Linked DNA regions of Neurospora crassa OR74A. The protein of the gene in region 3 purifies or fractionates together with the protein of the main gene of each other region. This does not show direct contact. Links are inferred from orthologs where the notes say so. Each region holds a gene or a part of one and is shown on either strand. Other genes may lie near its edges. The genes, in order: NCU07832, NCU02717, NCU06622, NCU00210, NCU03778, NCU06354 and NCU01614.

Region 1 (4,022 bases), on a different chromosome or scaffold from region 3:
AATAGCTGCGGGAAGTCCAGGAACCTTCCAAGGAATGTTACTCTTCCAGCATCTCCAGGCCTCAGAAAGATGTTGAAGAACCGTGTTGACCTTGCTCTGCTTGATACCTTCCGGCATCATGTCCAGCAGATCAGCCATGACGGAAGCACGAAGCTCGAGATCGAAGTGAGATTCAACACGCTGCTTGGTAACGGTCTTGGCAACTCCCTTGCTGTGGCGACCTTCGAACTGACGGGAAAGGAGGTTGCCAAGCCATCTTTCAAGAAGGGGAATGATACCGCGCATGAAGAAGAGCCACACACGCCATGCCGGCGCCCAGAAACCGCAGCCTGGACCCTTGCCAACCGGGCCGGCGTTGAAGCGATAGTAGATGAGATGCTTGAGATCCTTGCAGGAACGGATCTGGTGCATCAACTTGTACTTGTAACGATACATACCGGTCAACTGTCCGACATGGTTGAAGGCATACAGAATACCATCGGCAAGCTGGAAGGCGTCAATGTTGCCAAGACGGTACTGTACCTGGGCATCGACAATGAGCTTGGTCAAGCGCAGAATTTCACGCATAAGATGGAAGGCATTTCCGAATCTAGACTTCTTTCGCTCCTTGGTTGTCAGCGTCTTGACGGGCTTCAGGTTGAAGTTGTAGTCCAAATGGAGATATGTGAGGTTCTTGCGGTGGATAAGCAGGTTGAGCATGTTAAAGCCCTGTCGGCAGACTTGCAAGCCGGCTTCAACCCAATCGATCGTTGTCTGCTGGAAGAACTTTGTTTGTTTCAAAGTCCGCAGCAAGTTTTGCTTCTGAAGAGATTTTGGATGCTTCTTGTGCAGCTCATTGAGGACGTAGTTCTTGAGAAGCTTCTGGTACGAGACGCGCACCTTAACGGGCTGCTTCGGCGGGCAGTGCTCCAAGTACCAATGCTTTACGAGAGGTACATCCTGGGCACGAACCGTACGTCCAGAGCGGCGGTCGAAGGGGAACGGCGCCCACCAAAGCTCGATGGCCGATGCCGTCTCATCCGTATACAGCGATTCCTCGGCCATGAAAGACTCGACACCAGCGGGCAGCTCAAACGCATCTTCTTCCGGCTCCTCGATATTGCCAGGTCCAAAGATCTCATCTTCATGGCTGACTGTAAGGTTCTTGGGGGCAACAGCCCGCGAAGAAATCGGGTTGATGCTCGTGTCAAAGTAAAAAGCGGGAAGGTTGTAGTCTTCTGTGCGCGTATAGACAACTTGCGGGTATGAGTGGACTGACAACTGGACGCTTCTCGGAAGTGCATTATAAAGATGGGGGTAAGCTACACGGCACTCTGTTCGGATAGGGTTCCTGAAGATGATGCGATCCATAGCATTGAACTCGCCAAAATCCTCATCATTGGGGTCAATGTCCTTGTAAAGTGGCTCGAAGCGAGGCCCGCCTGGTAAAGCCGCATTCAGGGCCTTTGCTGTGAGGAAACTCTTGAGCTCAAAGAGGTAGTAGTAGTTCTTGTCGACAACCTCAGACACCAACGGTCGGCTTAGACGGTATAAACTCGCCATTTGCGGCAGGGTGAGATTCCACTTCTTGTAACTGGGCCCGTTGACGTGGGGCGTGTCGAGAAGCGGCTTGTGGTCATAGAACCACTCATAGATTGCTGCTTCTTCGTCCTCATCCAACTCCATCTGAATGGGTTCAAGTGGCTCGACGTCCTCGATGTTCTCGGACCAGGACAGGGGCGGTTCTTCGTCGTCGAAAGGTGGAAATCGCATGCGCTTGAATAGCCGGCGGTCGCTCTTTTCCTTGCGCATTACCGTCCACATACTGGCCCACTGTGCAAAGAAGACGGGCTCAATGACTCTCGGGATCTCATTCACAAGGGTCAGACAGCCGTTGACGTGATAGAGAACCTTGACCTCTCTGGCAGCCTCCCAAGGCATGGGCATGTTCTCGAGCAGCTTCAGCACAGCATGGGGCATGAACTTGAGCGCCCCAAGATAGCTGCGCTTGTCACTGGTGTACTTTTTCTGCGAAACATCCCCAATATCCTTGACGATCTTCCGCAAGTGCTCTGGTGGCATGTCGGCCTTTTCCGTCTCAACAAATCCGCCCTTCCTCTTCTCGCCGAAGCGATTTCTCTGCATGCGAAGCCATTCCTTCTTCTTCTGGGCGAACTTGGCAACATGAGGGTCGGTTGGTGGAAAGAACCCAGGCGGCGGCGGTGCTGGGAGGGCAGGAGGAGGTGGGAGAGAGGACGGAGGCGGCGGCGGCGGAGGTGCTGATGGCGGCGGAGGAGCGCCCCAGCCGGGGGGAGGAGGTGGTGGTGGCGGATAGGACATTTTTTCGATTTCTGCTTGATGAAGCTTTGTTGACGTTTATGTGGTTGTTTCGTTGTAATCGTCTTCGTCAGAAGCGTGTACCAGTCGGCGTTGGCGACGAGATGGATAGAAGGCTGGATACCGTGAAGTCGCCTGTCCGCGCGATGGCGGTTTGCAGTCCGCGTGCGTCGTTCCAAGGCCTGTCTCGCTGAGGAAGAGAAAAAAGGACTGGCAAATATTAGATTCCCATTGGTTTTAGATGGAAATGGGCGTAGGTCGACCTCGCACCAAATCGCGGCGATGGTCGATCAAGCTGAGAATGGAGAGGTGGATGTTGTATTCGTGAAAGTGTGGTTTGGTGGCGCCAGGATGCTGGCGTTGACGTTGGCAGGTTGGCCTCGTTACGAAAAACTTGAACAGCCTCGCGACAGCTGCGTGGGCGGTCGATAAAGTTCAGAGGTCAGGGCGGGCGGTCCAGGTCCTGGCGCGCAAAACGGGAAACCTGGCAGCGGGATTCTTCGCTGTGCAGGTGCTTGTTGGCAGCTGCAGCCCGGTAGCGTCCCCGCCACTCCAGTTAGTGAAAGAGGGCCTGGGGTTGGTTGCCTGCAGCGACTGGGCAGGCTGGGCTGTCACTTCTCGACTTCGTGGCGAAACGTCTCCTGTTACGTACTGTAACTTTCGATACGCAATCCCCGTTACGTGGTAGATCTGGCTTGACAAGCTCACAGCACGTCTCAGATGCATGTAACCGAGTATAGTGATACATTATCAGTTCAGGTAGCTGATACATTGAAGGTGGGGCATCAGCTGGCTGGCTGTTTGCGCCCAAGTACCCAGACGACAGGTGTTGAATCTCATAGTGAAGGCCTGACAAAGCAATGCTTGATATTGTTCCCTCGCTCCGCTCGCCAAAGTATACACAAAAACCCGTTCCTCTGACAGATCCCTCATGCGAACATCTGCAAGGTTCAGACCTTATCTTCATCTTCTAGGAATCCCGTCCTGCGATCTCCAAGCGGAAGCAGGTACATTCAGCTCATAAGTTCAGCCTCCCCCCCGCGGAGCAAGTATCCTCTCCCCCCACACCCCTTGCTCGGATTAAGTCATACCCAATCATTACAGCGCTCGAGGCCCAAACAGCTCCGCTCGATTCGCTAAGCCCCAAATCGCCCCCACCAAAACGGCCTTTCAGTGAAAATTAATTCTTTGACCCCTCTGTCCGCCTCGCCGCAGCCGGGTTTTGCTTTGCCAACCATCCGGACCATCACCACTTCCGTCCACCACTCCAAGTACCCATACCGGTAACCCGGACTTCTGCATCGCGCCCATACCCCCGGAACCCGCATATTTATTCCGAGTCTATCGAAAGAGACCGCAACCATGTCTCGTTTCTTCCGCGGCGGTGACGACAGCTCCACCGACAGCAGCTCCGAGGAGGAGGAGGTCTACACTTCGGAGGAGGAGGAGGAGAAGGTTCAGGCCGAGGACGAGTCTTCGTCTGAGGAGGAGTCTGACGAGGAGGAGAGCGACGAGGAGTCCAGCAGCGACGAGGAAGAAGGAACCAAGAAGAAGGGTGCCTCCCGTTTCTTGCAGAGCGACGACGAGTCCGAGGAGGAGGAGGAAGAGCAGAGCGACGATGAAGCCACCACCAAGGTCAAGAGCGCCAAGGACAAGCGCTTCGACGAACTCGAGTCCACCATCAGCCAGATCCAGAACGGCCAGAA
Region 2 (4,174 bases), on a different chromosome or scaffold from region 3:
ATGATGATGATAATGATGGTCAACAGGTTGGGTTTTATGAGGATGATGAAGAAACAGATCAATTCCGAGAGGTTGAGAGAATGACAATGATAAACAATGTATGCCTCTTTGCGAATTCTCACGATATATGTATAAAGAGAAGGCCGGTAGTCAGTTTCTTTCATGGAGATAAACGATACTTTTTGGACCCACGAATACAATGTGCTGGAAATCGACGTCAAGACCACCATGAGATTCGACGGCCGAGGAAGACCTGATATCCTCAGAGTATCCCAACATGTACAAAGCCGTATTTAATCGTACGGGATATGGAACAACCTACCAAGCAGTTGGTTAAAATATAATTCACACCTTTCATCAAAGTATGGGGTTTCTATCGTGGTTTGGGCTTTTTATGTGATCTTTAATACCGAGAACAACTCAAGAGGTATATATGTGTGGGAGTAAAGATCCGCACCATATCGGTTACTGTATTCGGGGGGAAAAGTTTATGGGCTTCTTGGTCTGCGGCCTAATATAACATTGCATCTCCTACACTAGCTGCTCCCTCCCTGAGCCGCTTCATCGACAGCAGCGCCACCAGCACCCCCCGCGGCCTGCTGTTTCCAAGCATTCGCCATGGCCAACAGACTCGACAAGTTCTTGGTCTGCTGATCATCAGCCGGGAAGATATAATCGACATATTCCTCCCAAGTATCATCCTCCAGCTTACGCTTCTTCTTGGTCTTCCTAGGCATTTGTTTCTGAATCTTTTCGATATCCTCCGCCGACCCATGCGTCTTCTCAAACGCCAACCACGCGTTGAGCAGCGACACACGCTCGGCCTTGAGCTCGCGCTCCTTCATGCTCTTGTGCGCCCTCTCAAAGATCTTGCGAGCACGTGCCTTGGCCTCTTCGCTAACAGGCTTCTCTTCCACCTCCTCCTCCGTTTCTTCCTCCTCCTCGGCCTCGTCGGGTATGTTGATCTCGAACTGGGCGTAACTGATCCAGACCTTGGGGTGATCGGCCTTCTCGAGCAGGCGCTCGTACAGGGCACGCGTCCGCTCGTACTCGCCCTCTTCTTCCTCGAAATCGATGTACGCCTTCCATACCACCTCGGGCATGTCCAGGATCGGCTGCGAGACAGCGAGCTCGAAGATGGCGCGGGTGCGCTCGAGATCGTCGAGACCACGTTCCAGCTCGGCCCACTTGATCCATGTTTGGCAGTTGGCCGGGTTGTACATGACATGCTTTTCGTAGAGGGTGCGGCAGCGCTCGAACTCGTAGAGCTTCTGCTCGAGGAGGATGTACTCCTTGAAGATCTTGTCTTTGGGGCACATGCCGATGGCGCGGCCGAGGGTTTTGCGGGCCGTCGTTAGTTGGCCCTGTCGGATCTCGAAGTGCGCCTTGGCAACCCACACTTTGGCAAAAGTGAACTTCTTGTGGGGGATCAGGTTCAGACAGGTGTCGTAGATCTGACGGGCTCGCCCGATATCCTTTGTTTCCCTCTCCTCCCATATCGCGTAAAAGAGGAAGAGGAAAATGTACCGCCTCCAGTGTCGCTTCTCTTGGGTTGGCGGTACTTGAGCAATGGCTCGCTCGTAGACTTCTCTGGTCCGATCGACATCTCCTCCGCTCTCCTCGAGTCGCGCAAAGTCAAACCAGACGTCGTAGTTCTTTGCGTTCTCCTTGACTTGCTCCTCGTACAATCTCCTCCTCTTTGTAAGAATGACGTCCTCCACACCCTCCTTGTCGCCAAACTGCTTTTCAAATGTGGTGTAGTGGGCATGTAGCGTCATCGACTTGGACCGAGGCAAGTTGTCGAGGCCAAACTTGTAGATGGCACGGGCCCGCTCATACTCACGCAGACGGGCCTCGTACCGGGCGAAGGCGATGAATATCCTCTCGTCAACGGCATCGTCGCCTAGCGTTTCGGCAATTGTCTGGATAGCTGTCTGGAAGACCTCGCGGACCGTGTCGCTGGTCCCGTATTCCTCTTCAAACTTGGCCCACTTGAGCCACGTCCTCGGTTCCGGATGGACGGCGGTAAAGGCCCTGAAGATCTCCCTTGCCCTGTCGAACTCGCCGTAACGTTTCTCTAGACGGATATAAGCACTCCACGCCTGCTCATCTGGCTGCCACTTCATCCACCGGTCGAAGACTTGTCTGGTACCCGGAATGTCGCCGAGCATCTCCATAACGTAGAGATACTGGTACCAGAGAGATGTGACTCTGGGCAGCCGCGTGACAGCGCGGTCCAACAGATTGCGTGCATGGTTGATGTTACGGTTCTTGATCTCTGCTTGAACGTATCGGATCCAGAGTTCTGTTGGACATATCGTTAGCGACTGATGTGCGCCACATTTAACAGCACATGGACACTTTGAGTTTAGACAAACATACGAGTATTGTTGGGATGTACATCCAGAGCGCGCTCGAACACAGAGCGAGCCCGCGCAAACTCCTTCTGTTCTAGCTCCCATTGAGCATACTGGAGCCAGTTCGATAGACGAACTCGGTTACGCCGCACGTAGTCCTCAAACTCCTTGCGCTTACGACCTTGGTATTCCTTGAGCTCCTCGAGGTCGGCAAAGCGCTGTGTCGGGGTCTGGAGGTTGACTTCCTGGCGGTCGACGGCCTCGCGCAGCAGCTGCTCGGCCGAGATCTGTACAGGCGCAGGGGCTTTATTCTTCACCCGTGGCGGGCCGCGCGATGACTCCATTGTGAAGATGGGCGTAAAAAGTGGCGATCTGCAGATGTTGGCGTGGTGTTGTAAGTTCGGTTTCTCAATGAGATTTTGGGGTCTGGACGCAACAGCAGCCAGCCACTGAACTCAGTTGAGGACGCGCTGCGATTGATGGACCGTGGCTCGATGCCCCTGCCTACTTACTGAACCTTGCTGCACAGTGGGTATGGACACTTTTCGCTCATCATGTCATTGTACATCTGATAGGTAGTACATGTCCGACCTCAGCGAGCAGGTTCGCCCATAAGACGACGCTGAGCCGCTGGAAGGCCGCTGTATTGGGTGTGGCTGCGAACTACGCCTACTTGACACTATCTACTCACTGCACTGGCAGCTATCGGCGACATACCAAGCCGCACTGTGTACGACCGGCAGGCAAAGCACTGGCGCAACGAGGTCAGTACAGTACGCTAGGCCGTGATGCAACGCCGCGGTCTCTTGCCTCCATTCTTCCCAAAACCAAAACAAGTCGACAACACATCGAACTCTTTTCCATTCTTTCTTCGGCACACGGCAGCTGTTGTACCTGTATCAGCGACTGTCCCGTTTACTCCTGAATCTAACCACCTTGAGACCCGAACAGTCGCCGAATATTCTGCCCAGGAAACAGGGTTTTGCCAACATGTCGTCTACTCTCGACGAGCTCCTCCAGGACTTTGAGGACTCTGGCTCCGAGGCCGGTGGCGAGGAGTATGGCGATGGTCTTCTAGGCGATGGCGTTGACACGACTGGAGGCTCCGGCGTGGACGACGCACATGTACCGATCAATGATGAGGATCAAGATGAAGGCATGGGCGACGAGGAGGGCGAGGACGAAGACGAAGCTATGGGTGGCGTCGGCGCCGACGACTCGAATGCTGTAGAAGATCCCGAGGAAGCAAAAGCCAAGGTTGAGAAGATGCATCTGGGAGGAGTGCGAGATGTTCGAACTGTTGCGACTCTTATGAAGTCATTGAAGCCAGTACTCGAGGTTAGTTCCCTTATACCCGTTTGCGGTGCTCCCTTTGAACATGGAAAAGCGTTTACATCTTATTTGAGCAATAGCCCTGACAGTCTGGATCGAACGTTGCAGAAAATCGCACACTATCAAGCACAACCCGCTCAGGCCAACGACGTCGGCCATGTCGAAGATCACCCGGAATACAACCTCTTGACCAACGCCAACAGACTGTCTACTCTGATAGACAGTGAGGTGGCCCTTGTCCACAAGTTTGTGAGGGATCACTTCTCCGCCAGATTTGCTGCACTCGAGTCGCTATTACCGAACCCAATCGAATACTGCAAGGTTGTTGCCATCTTGGGCAACTCCCCAATGGACTCGGAGAGCATGAAAGCGTTGCAGCTTTCCACCGATAACCCTCTGGGGTTAACCCTCAAGTCAGTTCTTGACGGACCAACCTTGATGATTGTCACGGTGGAAGCCACGGTTTCCAAGGGTCAATTTCTGGG
Region 3 (3,552 bases):
GCCGCGGTCGTTTTGGCGCCTGGACCGGTTATGGGAGGACTGGCAGCTCCCGAGGGGGTTATGCTATCTTTGGAGCAGGGACAAGTGGGTGATCATGGAGATGAGCGGGATAGGATGGCGATGCTGCCGAATGCCAAGAAGCAAAAGGGGTCCGGCGGGTTGCAGCAAACGTCCATCTTGATGTCTATGAATGGGGGGTTGCCTGCTGGTACAGGAAGCGGTGCTAGTGGAAGCATTGGAGGGCTGGCGGCGCCGGTGAATGGACTCGGTGCTGGCGGGGTTAATACCGGTATTACCAATATGGGTGTCACGACGGGTGTGGTGGGCATGTCGTCGGCTTCGGGACGACCATTTAGTTCTACTCCTGGTGTGATGAGCGGCATGAATAGGGGTATCTTGTCGGCATCACCGCCAGCTACTACGTCGGACGAGGATCCCAGCGCGCAGTTGCAGATGGAGATGAGGCAGGCGGCGTCACAGCAGTATCGGGGTCATGATGGGGATGTGGATATGACGGGTTAGTTGAGTGACTGTCCATACATACAGAGCCGAATAGACGTGTTGAATATCCGGGCGAGTACAAGACGTTAAGAGGTGTAGAGTTGCCGAATCAAAGACCATGGGCCCTTGATATGCTCGTCCTAACGTCCCTTTCCTCAAGGCCGCTCCGATTGCTGCGGTGAAATCATGACACCACTATCATGTTTCACTATCTCTGTTTCAACCCAGCAAATTTGCGCAATTTGGTATACAGTTATTTTGCAGTAAGCCCCATCTAGAACCGAACGCCGACAAATGGTAAGCTCTTTGAAGTGCCGTCCTCCCCCTTTTCGTCACCTCTGCAAGCCATCATATCACGAACATATAGCAACCTGATCTACCACGTTCGTCAGGTGCCCGTCACCTTGGTTCCTCCTTACTCCTCCATGGCATCGTCATCCTCGGCGATAATGCCAGGTGGCAGCCGTCCCTCGTTGAGCGCCTTCTCCAATCTGATGATTTCCTCCAAGCTGTCGGCCTTCTTGATCAGATCCTGCAACTTCTTCTTCTCTTTCTCTGTGAGCTTGAGACGCGAAAGTTTCGAGGAAGGACCACTGCCGGCCGCACCGTTGGCGGAGCTGGCGCCAACGTCAAAGGTCTTGCTCTTGATTCCCTTTATCTGTTTGCATGTTAGCAGGGTTGTCATGACATTGAAAAAGAAGACAAGGTACATACCGTCTTGGCCAACTCCGTCGGCTCATCAGCGGTTCCAAACAGCTCCTTCGCCTTCTGCCTCTCGGCGTCCTTGACCTTGACGTAATCGAGAAAGCGAACCTGAGGGCACAGCCAGAGGACCCAGTAGCGGTAGTTCTGTGTGTCGACAAACATTGTCAGCCATTCCGTACATTCATTCCATTTGCCACCCCCGTCTCCGATTCTCTCTCAGCCGCATAACACTGGGCGACGAAAGGGCGTTGTGTGACGTACCTCCTTCTTGGTAACGGGGTTGTCCGTCAAGACCAAGTGCGTAAGCCTTGGAAACCTTCCCAACACCTCCAAATCCGCCAGCTCGCCAATATTATTGGACGCCAGGACGAGGTTCTTCAGGTTCGGGGTCGCATTCGGTAGGGTCGACTGGATCTGGGCGATCCTGTTGCGGGCGAGCAGGAGGGTGCGTATGCGGGGAGAGAGCGGGAAGTTGCCCAGCACTTGGATATCGTTGTCGGTGAAATCAATGGCATCGTGGGGCTGTAGTAGCGACCGGATTAGCAAACTGCATTAATTGGTAATTTGGTTGAAACGGGCTACCAGTAGCAGGACTAGCAGTAGAGGAAGAACCAGGAGAAGGGAGAAACTTACCCCAGCAACGCCCAAGTTCTCAATAGCAGGTATTCTGTGTCCTATTGCATGTATCCCAACCCAACATAGGTTTTCGATATATCAACTCTGTTCTTTGTACGCGCTTTTGGAAACTTGAAGATCAACCGTGCAGTATCTGCTCTTCTCGATGGAACGCACCTCGGAGGTCTATCTCTCGCTCCTTAAGCGGATTGAGATAGGAAAGGGAGTTGTTGATAAGGTCTGCCGTCAGCCTCATTGTGACGACGGGAGTGCAACGACGACGGGGAGCTGTCGAGCTGTCGCTGCTACTACTACTGCGATGCCGGTCGGTACCTTGTGATGGTTGTTGCTGGTGGTGCTTTTGTAATACGGCGGCGCAAAGGGGCTTTGCAAACAGGTGATTAATTATTGATTACAGCCAGGAGAATTGCCGTATGTCCTGTGTTCGCCTTCGAGATTGAAATTGATGGAAGTCAACTAAAGAAGCAAAAGGTTGAAGCGCGTCGCGTGGTTCGTAATTGGTGGCTGTAGTGAAGTTACCAAAGTAGATTGACAAGGCTGCCTGCCCCAATGAAGTCATGGACAGCGCCGCAAAAAAAAAACGGACGATGTAGTAACCCTAACCCTTGCGCGTCGGATTACTTGCAAGTCGCAACCACACGGAGCTCCTAAACAGAGTCGACACGGTTTGTGTCTGAAAGACTAGGGTACTAGAGTCAGATATTATATGTTCATTTTCTGCCCTCTTGTTGGCCTAAAATGTTTCTTACTCGCTATCTCGCCAGGTTGCTGTCAAGTTTTCGTTCTACTTCTTGGTGTAAACGCTTTCACAACCACTAACCGCCCGCTATGGAAAAACCAAAACCACTTTCATCACACTCGCTCTTTAGTCCAGATCCCCAACCCGGCATCATCTAAAGAACCTGCAGCTGTAACTTTAGGGCTTGTTTCGTTATGATGCACACTATTGTGCAATTCCATTGTAACGTCACCAACAATGCTATCCCTACATCGTCTAACCGGACGTCGAATGACGCCTTCCATGCTACTCAAACCAGAAGCCAAAGTCACTGACACAATAAGCTTGCTATGTAACGCATCACGCAAGTTCCATGTCCATTACCTGGTATCACACACACACAGAATTTGCCCGACCTTGAACCAGAAGCGGGATTTAGTATGCGAATCCACACCTCTCGTCCTTTTATGCTGATAATTTGGTGCCCAAGGGTCGTGCCACTCACTCACTACTCGACGATAAGCCCCTCCAAAGCTTCCATCGCTCTGGCACCCTGCTTCTCAAACAGCAGGACCATCTCCTCGCATTCCCTCTTCAATCTCTGCTCAGCCAAGTTGGCATTATGATAGATCCACTCCTCCACGGTCATCCGCTTTTCCGGGCTCGTGAGCTCACTGCCCTTGTGCAAGAGTTTGTCAATGCCGTCTTCCTTATCGTAGTCGTTCTTGTTGGGCGAGAATATATTGTCTAGATCTGCCGCGGTCCAAGGCTTAGTGCTTTGAAGGGCACCCAGAATCGTCCGTTTGGAAGGAGAAGTGGGCCTGTCCGGTGTGGTAGCCATTGGTGCTAGAGCATGACGTTCGACTATTGGGGTCATTTGCTTCGGCGATGGGGGTCGGTTCTCTGCATTCGAGGATTGCATTGAAGGCGAGCGGTAGACGCTTGGCTGTTCTTGAGGTACACTCGCGACTGTAGGTGCCTGAGGTGTAGCA
Region 4 (3,320 bases), on a different chromosome or scaffold from region 3:
GGGGGTCTTCTTTGGTAAGCGACTACCCTATGTTGCAGTTGCGCCAAAGGTTCTACCGGAAATGCTAATCATGTCGCGGCAAACAGGAAGATCCCATGGCGCATGTCCAAGTTCCAGAAGCTCAGGCAGCGCCGCAGACTGAGGGCCGTTGACAACGTCGTCGCCACCATTGAGAACGCTCTTGCCAAGAAGGGTGAGACCGTCAAGGCGGTGGAACGCTGGAGGGCTGAGATGCCCACCGAGGCCGAGATGCTGCCCAAGGACAAGTACACCATCTTCGACCGCAAGGAGAAGAGGTACCGCAAGGGCATCCACAGTACGGGCCACCCTTGTGCATCACTTCACAGCAGTCAAAGACCAAGGCTAATACGGCATTCCTTTTCCAGAGCTTCCCAAGTGGACCCGTGTGTCCCAGAGAGTCAACCCTCCCGGTTACTAAGACCTTCGACCCGGACGATGGACGATATCGTGCAAGCATGTATATCACTTGTAACATTACGCAGCGAAATGGCATGGGTGACATTGGAGATACCGCTAACAGGACCGTTTGCTTGGGGCAAAGAAGAGGAGGCCTCCTGTCTCGTCTCGCAAAGAGACTGACTGACTTGGAGGTCCTGTCCATCATGGACACTCCTGCTCGCTCCATGTTGAGATACCACTGCAGAGAGCAGCGCAAACACGGCCAGGCGAGCATCACAGAAGAATGTGTGGAGCCATACCGAATGGATGGGAAATCAATAATTTCCCGAAATACCATAGCAAGATACCAATACAACAACGAATATCATGTCTTCCAAGGGGGTATTTGTCTTTTACGCTTCTCTGTTCCGCCTCCACTTGCCCTGAATGAACAAAATTCGTAATTTCAGAGCCGGCTTGCATATTTTGTGTCGATTTGTCATGACGACTGGTTGAATATCTGTGCACTGGATCATGATGCACTCCCTCATTGTCCCACGTAACTCCCATGCAATGACAACTCTAGCGCAAGCGGCCGTATTGTTCGTCGTTATCGTCGTAGCGCTTGTGGTCATGCTCCCTCATTCTCTCGGCCTGGATTTGCCGGCCAAGACCACCGCGGCCCTCGTCGTAGTCCTCACGGTACTCATCACGAACTTGGCCGCCCGACTTTCCACGGCCGTACTGTCGCCCTTCCTCGAAGCCTGGGTCGAGATCGGTTCGGATGATGCGCTCGTCCAACTTGGTGCCGCCAATGTACTTCATGCAATCGAGAGCGTCCTGATGGGTGTAGTATTCGACGAAGCAGAAACCGCACGGTGTCTTTTGTAAGCGATCGAGGCCCATGACCAAGCGCTTGATCTCGCCGCATTTGCTAAAGAGTTCGTAAACCTGTTCTTCGGTAGTGTAGAAGGAACTGCCGAGGTACATTCGGTTAGTTCTTGTTTCTTTTGATTTTTTTTTGATTTTTTTAATTAAGGACTGGCAGCGTGGGGCAAACTTGCAGATTGCCGACGTAGAGCGTGGTCGCATCCTTCAACGGGTCATCGAACGCTTCGGGATGCATGTTACTGTCTTCGTTTTCTCCATCGCGGTGGTCCCGGTCGTGACGTCTGTTGCGCCTATTCTGTGTTGAGTGGATGGGTCAGCGGTCGACGGGGTGCTAATTATGGACAGGAGAGATTGGCAATGTTTGGGCATGGAAATGCCGTCAGGAGCACTCACCTTGTTGAAAAAGTATGCACTTGGCCTGTCAAGGCGCTCTACGGTGCTCCTTTGGCGAGTGTTCAACATGGTTACCTGGTAGTGAAGATGGATTATCTGCTCTTGGGTGAAAGGTGCCCTGCAACTGCGAAGAAGAAGGAAAATCAAAAGCTGTCAGCCCAAGTGGAAGTTCAATGGTTTGGAGTTCTGAGACGTCGATGGGGATGATGCAGTGGTTTCCCTTGCCAATGGAATTGGACCTACCTAAGAGGTAACTTAGGTTGCCCGCTAAAGTGGAAGTACAGGCGCAGCTACTTTCTGAGCGCGACTGGTGTGCCCGTGTACCGCGACAGCAGCACTGCAGGCTTCGTTCACAGTTCAGTTCAGCTCAGGTCAGTTACACTTAGTCCTGTTGGCGCACAGTGTCACAGTGCATCGGACATCACTGCATGGCAATCCAGGTAGTCTTGGCACTGTAACGGGCGACGGAAGCCGTTGGTGGTGGGTCAGGTACCCTATCTTACGAGGTGCCCGCAAATATGACGACGGCAGGCAAGGGCAGAGCGATGGAAGCAAGGGCAGGAGGACTTGGTGGAGGCGCTTTGTCGTTGATCCAACAACCATTGCCAGCCGATTGGACCGCAATCTGGCACCCAATTTACAGGCGCGTCACAGCACAACTGTACCTACCTCGGGCTTACCATTTATAGTATGTATACAGCTAGGTCTCCGTTAAGACCTCCATTCGGCCATTCCATCCCCTCTCATCCCGGGCGGCCTGCCTGTCTCCTGTTGATCAATGACCGATGGTGTGAGACGAGGCGGCGAGCACGGTCTGGACTGAACACCGGCGGACAGTTGAAACGGACTAAAGGGCTGTGGAAGGAGTGGAAACGCGCTAAAATGAAGCTAACACGATCGATCAAGGCAAGCAACGGAAAATATACGGCATAGGCACGGAAGCGGACGCCTCTAGTGACGCCCTGGACGCCTCATTTACAGCACTGGCTCGGACTGGACAATAGTGGCATCCAGCACTCGTCCATCCACGGGCATCCATCAGGTCCGTAGCACTACACGCTAGTCAAACCTTGTTGTTACCATCCTGACCAGCCAACCGAGACCACTAGCAAACTTCGCTTTCCTGGCTTTTTCTCCCATGGGATCGATCGAGGGGCCTGCCACTTCAAAAAGGGATCCCAATCTCTCTCCTTGTCTTCCCTCCCTTGGCTTCTGTTCTACTTGCTCTTGATCACCTTTTTTTTTTTTTTTTTTCATCTTCAAAAACCGAGAACCGCCATCACATTAATAGTACCGGTACATCAAATACATACGTACCTCGACCATAGTGCGCCTGCCTACCTACATAGCCAATTACCTCCCCACCTACATACATTACTTCAGCAGAGAAAGCGAAGTGCAGCACGACGACAAAAACCGGCCCGTGCATGCTAGGACATAGCAGGACCTCAACACAAGCTACTATTTCTGCCTAGCCAGACACCAACTTCGGTTTTCATTGCGCCACACGAACCACCGTCATCTGTAGGATTCATCAGGCTCGAGTTGGATAGTATAGCGACAACAGACAGCTCTTAGCACAAAACCACCAAGCACAGTCGGGATGCCCAAAATCCGGAGCTTCTCGGCGCCCTGGC
Region 5 (3,398 bases), on a different chromosome or scaffold from region 3:
GTCGGTGGAGGGGAGTCGGACAAGAAAGCTGCTGATGAAAATGCCTGGGCCGCAGCCCTCAAACTGAGCTGTGAGGCCCTGTCCAAGTACACGCCCGCTCGTCCCGGTGACCGCACCCTGGTTGATGCCCTCTATCCCTTTGTCGATGCGCTCGAAAAGACCGGTGATGTGAAGAAGGCGGCCGAGGCTGCCAAGCAGGGAGCTGAGGGCACCAAGGGTATGAAGGCCAAGTTGGGCCGCACCGTCTACATTGGCGGGTCCGGATTCGAGCAGGTGCCGGATCCGGGCGCTTGGGGATTGGCCAAGTTCTTCCTTGGACTGGCTGGAATTGAAAAGGCTGATGATTCCAGTGCTAAGCAGGCCAAGGGATCGGATGATGGATGGGAGGAGGTTACAAGAGAGGCGGAATTGCCGTAAGAATTGGTGCTGTATGTGATCTCGATATACCCCTAGGTAGTTAGTTTGCACCACCATTTCAATGACGTACCAGGAACACCAATACAAATCATCCCGTTGCTTGTCGTTAAAAAGCACGAGAAAACATGACCGCGTCTGCGAAAACCTAAACACGGTCTGGGTATTCTGTTCGATCAAGTTACCAGAAATGAAAGATAAAAAGTTAAACAAAACCAAATACACGTTTGAACGCCGAGCTCACACTAGTTTTCCCTTTGTATGACCTTCCTAATAGCCCCTGAAAATCTGCTTGGGTTTCTCTTCTTTCCTCTCGTTCCTGCGCGGCGCCTTTTCACGGGGCGTTTTGAATTGCTTTCGTGGTTGTGTCGTCATCATGGTCGATCGAGCGGTTGAGTAGTAGTAAGGTGATATAGTCCGCATGTCTCTCGATTCAGTCGACCAACAATAGGTACCCTTCCCGGGCTCATCCCCACTCCATTCGAGCCATTAACCCTAAGTTGTGCTGGCGCGTGTCTTCGCCGTGCAAGTGAAATAAACCTCCAACCTATACATTTTGCCGTGCTATTCGTGAACTAGCTGAGGAGGACAAGGATGACGGAGTCGCCTCTCAGGAACCTGCCAGGAAAGTGAAACATGTCAGCCATTGATCTTCGCTTCTCCTGGGCGAGAGAAACAACAGATGAAAAGGAAGTGCACAAACATCTTGCTGATAAACCTGTCCTTGTTTACGGGCTTGCCCTTCTTGCCATTGGCCAGTCGGGGCGTCTCGGTCCACATCTCCTTGACGTTCTCCAGCACCATGTTCATGTGGCGATCGAAAGCCTTGACGCGCGCAAGGATCTTGCGCCCATTGCGGACGGAAATGAGGACTTGGGAGTGGCTGCGGACGGCGGTCTGGAGGATGGACTGCCAAAAAGGGTGTCATATTAGTCGCTGCTCCGTGTCGAAGGGGTGGTAGATCAAGGCTTATGGGGCATATGTACCAGAGGACCGGCGGAGAACTCGTGCTCTTCGAGGAGAGAAACTTCGTATTCACTGTATCAGACGAGTTGGTTAGCTTTGTGATTTGGCTGGGCGGGCGTCGTGGTCTTGGGTCGCAAAGAGGAGGAGCTGGGAGCAGCAGGGCGGGCGAGATGACGATGGTAACAGAGGGAGGTGATGTTGACAAGAGGATATAACGTACGTAAGCTCATTGCGCGGCTTCGTGAGAAGCTCCCTGTATAGTAGACAGTTGTTAGTCAAGTTGGTTTCCTTGAAGCGTCCATGGGCTGCCCGCGCACATGGGTTGATGCTGGAGAGTGGGATAGCTACTGACTGAATCTTTGCATCCGCTGAAGCCATGACGATGGTGTTTTGGTCTAGAGTTGAATTGGAGTGGTACTGAAATGTAGGAGGGGCAAATGAGTTGTAGTTTTGTCTTTGTATCAAAAATGGTTGTTGACGTCGAGTGGTTGCTTCGCGTGGTATGGGTTGGTGGTGTACGGTAGAAGCCTGGACAATAGTTGCTGTAATGGATGCTATCGCTATCTTCAATCCACGACGGGAAATGTTGCAGCAGCGGAGGGCCAGGCGCGGCGGCGACTCGGAGCGTGGAGCAGCTACAGCACACGCGCCAAGCTTTTCTGGGAACAGAACCGTCTTCAAAGTTTGGCGATTGGATGACAAGCTCACGGTGGATCCCAATGCGAAAGGCTGAGGACCGCTCCGGTGACAGGTGCTGCCAGCCCCGCCGAACCCGACATGCTCCCCCGGACAGCCGGGACATCGGGTTTCCAGTGAGCGGAGGGCCCGAGCGTCGCTTCTGGAAAATGACAAGTTTGAATGGATAGAGGTATCATCGGCCGGAGGATATTCCAGCTTCTAGCGATAGCGGCGGGGATTCGGCAGGTTCCACAGCTACCTCTACACTATGTATTAGCTCCCCCGTACCTAACCCCGCCCCGGGGATTGCCAGGCGCGGTGCCCTTGAAAATCAATTGAAGCTGGAGCTCCATTTCGCGTTGAATTCCAGCAAAAAGTGGATTTGCAGATACTCTCGCTATCACTTATCACGGTTCCTGCATCCACGCGGCATTCAGATCATTGGTGATTGTTCTCCCGTTTTCCCTTTCCCAGCCCAGGAAAACGAGTCCCGAAAAAAAGTGCCCGAGTCCCTTGGCCGGTCTATGATGCAACAACGGTGCTAAACAGCCTCGGGGTGGATTTTGGACTTAGTATTTTTCTTCCATATTGACCCTGGGTCTTGTTATTCCATTCCTATTCTAGACAAAGCCAGCCAGCCAGCCAATTACCGAAGTGTACATCGATGTTGGTCTCCAAGTCCATTGCCAGCCGCGCCGGCTTGGCTTCTGCTGTTGCTTCTCGCAGCTGCCGACCAAGCTTCACCGCGATGCCGCTCAGAGCCAAAGTCCTGGGCCAGCAGGCCCCAGTAAGACGCTCCTTGGGAAGACAAAAGCCATGGACACGGACACAGCTAACACGCTCGCCGCCCCCTCCTCCCAGATCTCGACCCAAGCCGCCGCCGAGTTGTTCAAGCCCGTCGAGGGTGACGAGCCCGAGGATGTCCTCTTCAACAGTCTATATAATCTCCGCTCCGTCGAGCTCAACCGCCCAGCCAAGTACAACGCCCTCAATGGCTCCATGATCCGCAAGATCGCGCCCCGTCTCCTCGAATGGGAACGCTCCGATATGGCCAACGTCATCGTCATCAAGGGCTCCGGAGAGAAGGCCTTCTGCGCCGGTGGTGATGTTGCCGCGCTGGCCAAGCAGAACGCCGAGGGCCCCGAGGGCGTCAAGAAATCCGTCGACTATTTCGGCCTCGAATACAAGCTCAACCACCTGATTTCCACCTACACCAGGCCTTACGTGGCTTTCCTCGACGGCATTACCATGGGAGGTGGTGTTGGTCTCAGCATCCACGCCCCCTTCAGAATTGCGACCGAGCGCACTGTCTTCGCCATGCCCGAGACCAAGATTGGCTT
Region 6 (2,786 bases), about 970 kb from region 3:
TGGTTGCGAAGAGCAGCATGTTCACTTTCGGGAATTTGCGTTGCGAGGTCGTAGGTAATCTGAGAATCGTGAATGTCAGCGGTGCGCGACATACAAGCGTAGCGGTATCGTCGTGATCCAATGGGTATCTGTAAGTACCTTGCCCTTCAGTGTCGTTGCTGCGAAGAGTTGCGCCTCGGCTTCGGGAGAGCCCTGCAAGATCGATATTGTGGTAGTCCAGGCCTCGTTCTACGGTCGATTGAGAAATGCGGGTTAGTCACATGCGAACCATAGGTGTGTTGGCGTCGAAGGAGCTGAAAGCCCAACTGACCGACTTCTGAAACTTTTGCAGGTAGTCCATGGCGGCCTTCTTGGAACCGGAGTCACCACTCCGCATCGTCAGCATGGCCTGCAGGACATTTGGGGTGGTGAAGCCGTCTGTGGCGCCGTTGGAAGCCATGTTGGGCAGCTTCGGATTGTGTATGATGTGATTTAGCTCGAATACAAGTGTTGTGATGGCAAGTGTTGCGATGCGGTGTTGCAAGTGGAAGCTATCGCTGGGGTATCGCAGGTCGCAAAGTGGATGGATCAGCCCCTCCTATTCGACAGGAGTGTTGTCCGACTTATCGGTCTTGCGACGCGATGGAAGCTTTCAGGATATGTTGTTGTAAAGGCGAGGAGCTGCGATGCGCACGGGGTATATGAAGCTCCAGAGAGGTTGCAAGAATAAAGGACTGGGAGGTATTGTACGGTGCCGCCGTGGTGACAGGATTGCTGCAAGTTGGAGGTTGCCGGCGACGATTTGCTCTTGAGCGTCCAAAGAAACGACGATTGAAAAACATCCCGCCAACAATCGAAGAACGTCAGGCTGCCTGACACCGACCGACCGCGAGTGGAGTAAACGGCGGCGGGCAAGCGGGTCAAAGAAAGTGGAAGCACATCCTGCACCGCCATAAGTGGGACAAGCGGGAGGGGCTCATGCTACCCCAAACTGAAGATTCTGTGGCTTGAGAACCCAAGCAGCTCGGAAAAAGTGAATTGAGCTGAATGCCAAGAGGTTATGACACGACGCTGTGGGCCCAGCAGCATGTAACTAAGTGCACAGACCAGCTGAGCAGCTCCCGTCCCGTCCCCGGCGGGAGGTGCTTGTGAAAACAAGAGCTCCACACGCCAGAGACAGACAGGCAGGCAATTCGACATTCGGGGGAAATTCATTGAAGTCACGTCCCGGCCGTAGAGAGAACGCGTCTGGGAACAACTGCAAGCCAAGCCCAGCCGACCAACAACGACCATCCACAACTTGATTGCGACTTACTTGTTCAGCCTCCACATCACCATCAAACTTCTGTCCTAAACACCGGCCAAACGACCAAACCACAACAAACTTTTATTCTCAACATGACCGGCAGAGGTGGTGGCGGCAACCGCCGTGTTCTTCTTCCTCCCATCAACTTCCTCTTCCGTCTTTTGCAACAACACTCGACCGTCCAAATCTGGCTGTACGAGCAGCTTCACATTCGCATCATCGGCACCATTCGTGTAGGATTCTCCATCGTGACCTCCCCGAAGAGCAAACATAGGTGCTGACAATTCCGTCTTACAGGGCTTCGACGAGTTCATGAACCTGGTGGTGAGTAGCGGCGCATGTCCCACTAGCACTACGAGACCTAACCCCATTTCCACAGATCGACAATGCGATTGAGGTCAAGCTGGTCTCCAAGACAAACGAGACGGAGGAGAGGAGGGAGCTTGGGGTAAGAATATGTTTAGGGCTGGACGTCGATGTTGTTGTGGCAGTGGAAAGGGTGGCTAACTGGGTCGCAGCAAATCCTCCTGAAGGGCGACAATGTCTCGCTCATCCAGAGCTACTCCGGGTGAAGAGCTCCAAACCTGAAGGAGAAGCGGTAATCGACGATGCAATTTACGCTGGGACCTACATCGAGCGACGAGCCAGCAGATCTAAAGCTGTACATAGACGGCCCACAAAGATGTGGTGCGTGGCCTTCTACACAACAAACGACACCGAATCTACGAAAGAGATACCAGGGAAAAGCGATTGGCCGAGGCGCACAGGAATGTCGACTATATGTATTTGATCAAAGGAAGGCAGTACGGGATGGATATCAGGTCATGGAACTATTTGGGTGCAGGAGGGCTCTTAATCTCGCCATTTCCGAGTATCAGGCCGTCCAGAGGTTGATCGTGGCGACCAACAGGTACCGACCCCTCGGATGGAGAGGATAGAAACTGCTCAGACAGCGCTAAGCCATAAAGCAATACAGGGGTTTCCTGCTTCCCCAGCTCGACAGACTTTTGGTTGTGCCGGTTGATGAAGTAGTCGTAGAAGCCTTTGCCGTGTCCGAGCCGTCTGATGGCCCCAGCTTCCGGGTCAATGTCGAAGGCCACGCCGGGCATGAGGATCAAGTCAAGCAGGGTTTGGTCGGAGTGGTGGGCGTCGGGACCTCCAAACACCCTCTGCCGCTCATGGACCGTGGCCGGGTCGATGCTGGGAATGCCCCATCTGTCTGGCTTGAGGGACTCATAGTCGTGAAGATCTCTGAGGCGGACCATGTCCATGACGCGGGCTGGGAGGTTGGGCGAGGCCAGAGGGTTCTTGTGAAGATACGGGATGAAAACCTCCTTGCCGGACTCTAGAGCGTGCCTGACGATGCCATCGGTCTGGATCTCGCCCGTGGGCATGGACAGGAACACGCTGACCCGTTTGGCGTCTACGTAGGGCTTGAAGTTCCTCAGAGTGTTGAAGACCACAGAACCTGCAATTGCGGATTTAGTCTGCGCTGGCAGTA
Region 7 (3,340 bases), on a different chromosome or scaffold from region 3:
GAGCAAGGACATGATTTCCTGGTTCCCGATTTTCTTCCCTCTTAGGGTGAGTTTTTATCTCTTCTTCCTTCATTTCTTGTTTTTCTTGACTTTTCGCTCCTCGCTCCTGCTTTGGTGACGATTACTGACCCTGTTTCTTCGACGATACATAGCAACCCCTCTACTTCCCTCAGGACACCGAGCTAGAAGTCAGCATGTGGCGCCAGACCGACGACACCAGGGTGTGGTACGAGTGGATGGTTGAAGTGTATGCTTGGGTGGGTCCCAAGACCCGTATCAAGGTTGGCGCTTCTGAGATGCATAGCAGTCGTAAGGTTGCCTGCATTTTTGGTTAGAAGAGAGGAAATGTAAAAACGGAGGTAACTAGGTACCAGTAGGTGGTGGGCAAGGCTGGCTAGGTCGGGTGTTAGGAGTGTGTAAGTATGCAGCTGTAACAAACGCTGCGAGGAAAAGGTCAAAAGTCTTGTTTTAGCGAAAGAATAAAAGATTCGAAGTCAAATGGTGGATAGAATGTTCATAATTGGGAAGGCGCGCGATGTGTATGATGATGGTGACTGTCTTTGCCTGTAGTCGTGTGATGTATAGGCAAGTGGAAGTTGAGACTAACAGAAATTCACGCCGCTCGTTCTCTTTTTCTTTCAGTTGAAATAATACCTGGAAACCAGACGCCATGTCCGCATGTCTAACTCAACCCGCCACTTCCTTTTCTTTGCTCAGTACCTAGATGATGTGTGGTCTTGACAGATTTTTGTTTCTTTCTTTCCTGTTAAGCTGAGTATTGTTCCAACATCTTATTTTAGCCTTTATCTTCAAGGAAAGGCCAGATGGCACATGCTCCTTTGACGGTCTTGCGCAGGAGATGCAACGAAGGTCTCTACCAGACAGAGAGACGCTCGGTACCCATCCATCCATCCATCCACCGTTCACTCTCTCTTGAAGCAAATCCGCCCTTCCGTACCACTCTCCACACCATGCGCGCCCGATATCATCAAAGCTGTTGTCGCACCTTTCGTGAAGCGCACACTTTCATCATTGGGAAACGAGTTTTCGGCGAGCGGGTGCGTTGTGGTTTGTGCTTCGGTTCGGCTCGGTTTGGTTTGGTCGGTAGAGTAGATCCATCTCTTCTTCTTCTTCTTTTTTCCTCCCAGGGTATTATAGTCGGAACATCACGACCCTCCCTCCTCACACATTCCTCCTGTCTGTTCTGCAAATCGCGCCCTTCACCACCCTGCCCGCTAGTCTAGGCTACCCTTTCATTTCCTCCTCCTGGTGGCGAGAGAACTTTCACTCTTCCATCTTGACGTCGCCACTTGTTTCCGCCTCGTCGGCCTTCTTGATGTAGAGAACGTTGTTACACCTATTGTTGAAGTCCATAATGTCAGCATCCCGGCTAGTTGATACGAGATGGGGGATTGGGTCGTCCGTATGGAAAGCCGTAGCAGTGGGATGTATTCAGTATGGACGTACCTGATCAGAACCTGCCCCAAGGCGCCCGTAAACTTGCGGTTGATGTACTCCTTTGTGTCGCTGAGCTGAATGTTCATGTAGCTATCGATGCTCTGTTGTTCACATGCACACACGCATTTCGTCAGCCTCTCTCTCTTTGTTCTTCCTTCGTTGCTCCTTGGTCCTGCCTGCTGGTTTCCCCCTCCCCTCCCCTCCCCATCGCTTCCCACAGCTGTGTATGCCAAGACCAAAGTCCAGCGGCAAAGGGAAGGCTAGATTGGAAGAAAGATGCTGGATATGTATATATATACGTACAACAAGACGGCCAACATACTCCGTCTCTCCCCACTTCAAGCGGATCGTCACAAAGCTGTTGACGAGATCTTGAAGGAAGGGACGGGGGTTAACTGGGACAAAAGACATGTTGTCGGTTTCGGTTCGAAGGGTTGGTTCTTGGTCAAGTGCGTGGCGCCTTGTGTGTGTATTCACAGGCTTGCTGTTGTTGTTGTTGTTGTTGTCGTCGATGGGACGGCTCGAAAGTTGGATTCGCGATTCGGCTTGGTGCTAATGGAATTTTGTATTTGTCGGTTTTCTTAGATGTGTAAGAGTGGGTTGTGGTCGGGTGGACGCAACAAGGTCGAGGTTATGGTTATGAAAAGTTGGGAAGAGAGATGGGATTGGCGTTGATGCTATGATGGAAGAAGCTCCAACTGGGACTGTGCCTCCAATGCTGGACCTTTGCGGCGTTGGAGTAGCGCGACGATGGAAGTTCCTCTGTTACGAGGGACATGTGGAGCCCTAACGCGATAGCTGATTGGACGTGGCAATAAGCCTGTCTGATTAGTAGATTACAGGGTTAGGGTTGGTGGCTAGAGGATACTTGATGTTGTTGACAGCGACGATGATGAGCATCACCAAGACCTTTATGGCGATCCTTTTGCTTATCATTACTCAGGTACATAGCTTAGTGTATTCTTTCACTTCTTCACTCAAGTTTACCTGGTGACATCTCTCCCTGATTATTTCCGATGCCCACTTACACCTTCAGGTCAAGACCCTCGAAGACGCCGATGTTTTGAAACGAAATGGAAGGGGACTGTTCAGGACCTGACAGGAAGTCATTTTGAATTAATAAAGTCCCATACTGGGTGAAGATATTTTACTCAATCTCCTCAATCCTAGGTCTACCGCCGAACATCTCAACACCGCCACTACTTCCACCACTATCATCACCACCATGGGAAACCGACCTCTCCGGGTCGACAACCAACCCAGCCAGCTTCGTTAACCCACCACCACCGAACCCTCCTCCTCTTGCCTGGCTCAACGACACTTCATCCACCAAGCTATTCGTCTTCCAATTCTCCAAGCTCTCCAGCACATCCCGACAATACTCCCTGACCAACCCATCCTCGTCCGTCTGCTCCACATACCCCAAAATCGTCCTCAGCTGCTCCTGCGTCTCACTCCCAAACGCAATCCCCAACACCCTCCCCTCGTGCTTCGCCTCGTCCATGGCCTTGATAAAGCTCATAATCAGCCTCACCGCCGCCCTCCTGAGTATCCCCTTCTCCAGCTGCCGCTCTACCTGCACAACATTAATGCACAGATCCACGCTCGCCATCGTCAACACCGCCGCGACACCAACAATATTCGTCTCGATGCAATTCGCCAGAATTGACAACGCAGAGGCACGGATCCTTACATCCTCTTCACCCGTTTTGGAAGTACCAGACGACCACCCTTCTACAATCGCCTCCAAGATATCAAGCCTAGCCTGCTCCTCAGCAGAAATCGGATCCGCCATATCCGGCACGCTGCCGTCCCACGCGTCTTCGGCTTCTTTATGCTTCTGTTCCCGCGCCTTAGCCTCGCGCGCTTGGCGCGCCATGGT

What was found.
Region 1: the proteins of NCU06622 (region 3) and NCU07832 purify together in Saccharomyces cerevisiae (affinity purification with mass spectrometry; 5 studies listed by BioGRID, with this or other methods). This does not show direct contact. The link is inferred for Neurospora crassa OR74A from reciprocal best matches to the Saccharomyces cerevisiae genes LEA1 and PRP8.
Region 2: the proteins of NCU06622 (region 3) and NCU02717 purify together in Saccharomyces cerevisiae (affinity purification with mass spectrometry; 4 studies listed by BioGRID). This does not show direct contact. The link is inferred for Neurospora crassa OR74A from reciprocal best matches to the Saccharomyces cerevisiae genes LEA1 and CLF1.
Region 4: the proteins of NCU06622 (region 3) and NCU00210 purify together in Saccharomyces cerevisiae (affinity purification with mass spectrometry; 3 studies listed by BioGRID, with this or other methods). This does not show direct contact. The link is inferred for Neurospora crassa OR74A from reciprocal best matches to the Saccharomyces cerevisiae genes LEA1 and CBC2.
Region 5: the proteins of NCU06622 (region 3) and NCU03778 purify together in Saccharomyces cerevisiae (affinity purification with mass spectrometry; 6 studies listed by BioGRID). This does not show direct contact. The link is inferred for Neurospora crassa OR74A from reciprocal best matches to the Saccharomyces cerevisiae genes LEA1 and SMD2.
Region 6: the proteins of NCU06622 (region 3) and NCU06354 purify together in Saccharomyces cerevisiae (affinity purification with mass spectrometry; 4 studies listed by BioGRID). This does not show direct contact. The link is inferred for Neurospora crassa OR74A from reciprocal best matches to the Saccharomyces cerevisiae genes LEA1 and SME1.
Region 7: the proteins of NCU06622 (region 3) and NCU01614 purify together in Saccharomyces cerevisiae (affinity purification with mass spectrometry; 4 studies listed by BioGRID). This does not show direct contact. The link is inferred for Neurospora crassa OR74A from reciprocal best matches to the Saccharomyces cerevisiae genes LEA1 and SMX3.

What each region holds. Positions count from the first base shown.
Region 1 is NC_026503.1:1,005,865-1,009,886, reverse strand, and holds the start of NCU07832 (pre-mRNA processing splicing factor 8), read right to left. Parts: upstream 2,801-4,022; 5' UTR 2,320-2,800; coding exon 1-2,319. Other genes in the region: NCU07831 (eukaryotic translation initiation factor 3), read left to right, coding at 3,679-4,022. UniProt on the Saccharomyces cerevisiae protein: Functions as a scaffold that mediates the ordered assembly of spliceosomal proteins and snRNAs. Required for association of BRR2 with the spliceosomal U5 snRNP, and the subsequent assembly of the U4/U6-U5 tri-snRNP complex.
Region 2 is NC_026501.1:3,299,894-3,304,067, reverse strand, and holds NCU02717 (pre-mRNA-splicing factor clf-1), read right to left. Parts: upstream 2,801-4,174; 5' UTR 2,702-2,800; coding exon 2,383-2,701; intron 2,306-2,382; coding exon 537-2,305; 3' UTR 333-536; downstream 1-332. Other genes in the region: NCU02716 (pre-mRNA splicing factor), read left to right, coding at 3,348-3,695, 3,798-4,174. UniProt on the Saccharomyces cerevisiae protein: Involved in pre-mRNA splicing and cell cycle progression. Required for the spliceosome assembly by promoting the functional integration of the U4/U6.U5 tri-snRNP particle into the U1-, U2-dependent pre-spliceosome.
Region 3 is NC_026504.1:1,833,587-1,837,138, reverse strand, and holds NCU06622 (U2 small nuclear ribonucleoprotein A'), read right to left. Parts: upstream 2,377-3,552; 5' UTR 2,078-2,376; coding exon 1,999-2,077; intron 1,881-1,998; coding exon 1,840-1,880; intron 1,729-1,839; coding exon 1,468-1,728; intron 1,351-1,467; coding exon 1,216-1,350; intron 1,160-1,215; coding exon 917-1,159; 3' UTR 523-916; downstream 1-522. Other genes in the region: NCU06623 (hypothetical protein), read left to right, coding at 1-522; NCU06621 (hypothetical protein), read right to left, coding at 3,069-3,552. UniProt on the Saccharomyces cerevisiae protein: Involved in pre-mRNA splicing. Associates to U2 snRNA in a MSL1 dependent manner and is required for normal accumulation of U2 snRNA. Required for the spliceosome assembly and the efficient addition of U2 snRNP onto the pre-mRNA.
Region 4 is NC_026503.1:3,018,652-3,021,971, reverse strand, and holds NCU00210 (nuclear cap binding protein subunit 2), read right to left. Parts: upstream 1,944-3,320; 5' UTR 1,753-1,943; coding exon 1,684-1,752; intron 1,586-1,683; coding exon 1,464-1,585; intron 1,376-1,463; coding exon 982-1,375; 3' UTR 501-981; downstream 1-500. Other genes in the region: NCU00211 (mitochondrial ribosomal protein subunit L31), read left to right, coding at 1-14, 87-316, 387-439; NCU00209 (hypothetical protein), read left to right, coding at 3,287-3,320.
Region 5 is NC_026505.1:2,382,505-2,385,902, reverse strand, and holds NCU03778 (small nuclear ribonucleoprotein Sm D2), read right to left. Parts: upstream 1,971-3,398; 5' UTR 1,759-1,970; coding exon 1,733-1,758; intron 1,634-1,732; coding exon 1,601-1,633; intron 1,453-1,600; coding exon 1,401-1,452; intron 1,324-1,400; coding exon 1,118-1,323; intron 1,033-1,117; coding exon 990-1,032; 3' UTR 501-989; downstream 1-500. Other genes in the region: dak-1 (dihydroxyacetone kinase 1), read left to right, coding at 1-417; NCU03777 (mitochondrial 3-hydroxyisobutyryl-CoA hydrolase), read left to right, coding at 2,723-2,845, 2,920-3,398. UniProt on the Saccharomyces cerevisiae protein: Plays a role in pre-mRNA splicing as a core component of the spliceosomal U1, U2, U4 and U5 small nuclear ribonucleoproteins (snRNPs), the building blocks of the spliceosome.
Region 6 is NC_026504.1:2,807,242-2,810,027, forward strand, and holds NCU06354 (small nuclear ribonucleoprotein E), read left to right. Parts: upstream 1-1,208; 5' UTR 1,209-1,377; coding exon 1,378-1,518; intron 1,519-1,582; coding exon 1,583-1,609; intron 1,610-1,664; coding exon 1,665-1,733; intron 1,734-1,803; coding exon 1,804-1,857; 3' UTR 1,858-2,115; downstream 2,116-2,786. Other genes in the region: NCU06355 (karyopherin), read right to left, coding at 1-59, 139-228, 311-439; NCU06353 (hypothetical protein), read right to left, coding at 2,116-2,753. UniProt on the Saccharomyces cerevisiae protein: Involved in pre-mRNA splicing. Binds and is required for the stability of snRNA U1, U2, U4 and U5 which contain a highly conserved structural motif called the Sm binding site. Involved in cap modification.
Region 7 is NC_026502.1:2,951,812-2,955,151, reverse strand, and holds NCU01614 (hypothetical protein), read right to left. Parts: upstream 2,181-3,340; 5' UTR 1,870-2,180; coding exon 1,762-1,869; intron 1,560-1,761; coding exon 1,468-1,559; intron 1,358-1,467; coding exon 1,285-1,357; 3' UTR 501-1,284; downstream 1-500. Other genes in the region: pp-2 (protein arginine N-methyltransferase HSL7), read left to right, coding at 1-46, 153-335; NCU01615 (hypothetical protein), read right to left, coding at 2,606-3,340. UniProt on the Saccharomyces cerevisiae protein: Plays a role in pre-mRNA splicing as a core component of the spliceosomal U1, U2, U4 and U5 small nuclear ribonucleoproteins (snRNPs), the building blocks of the spliceosome.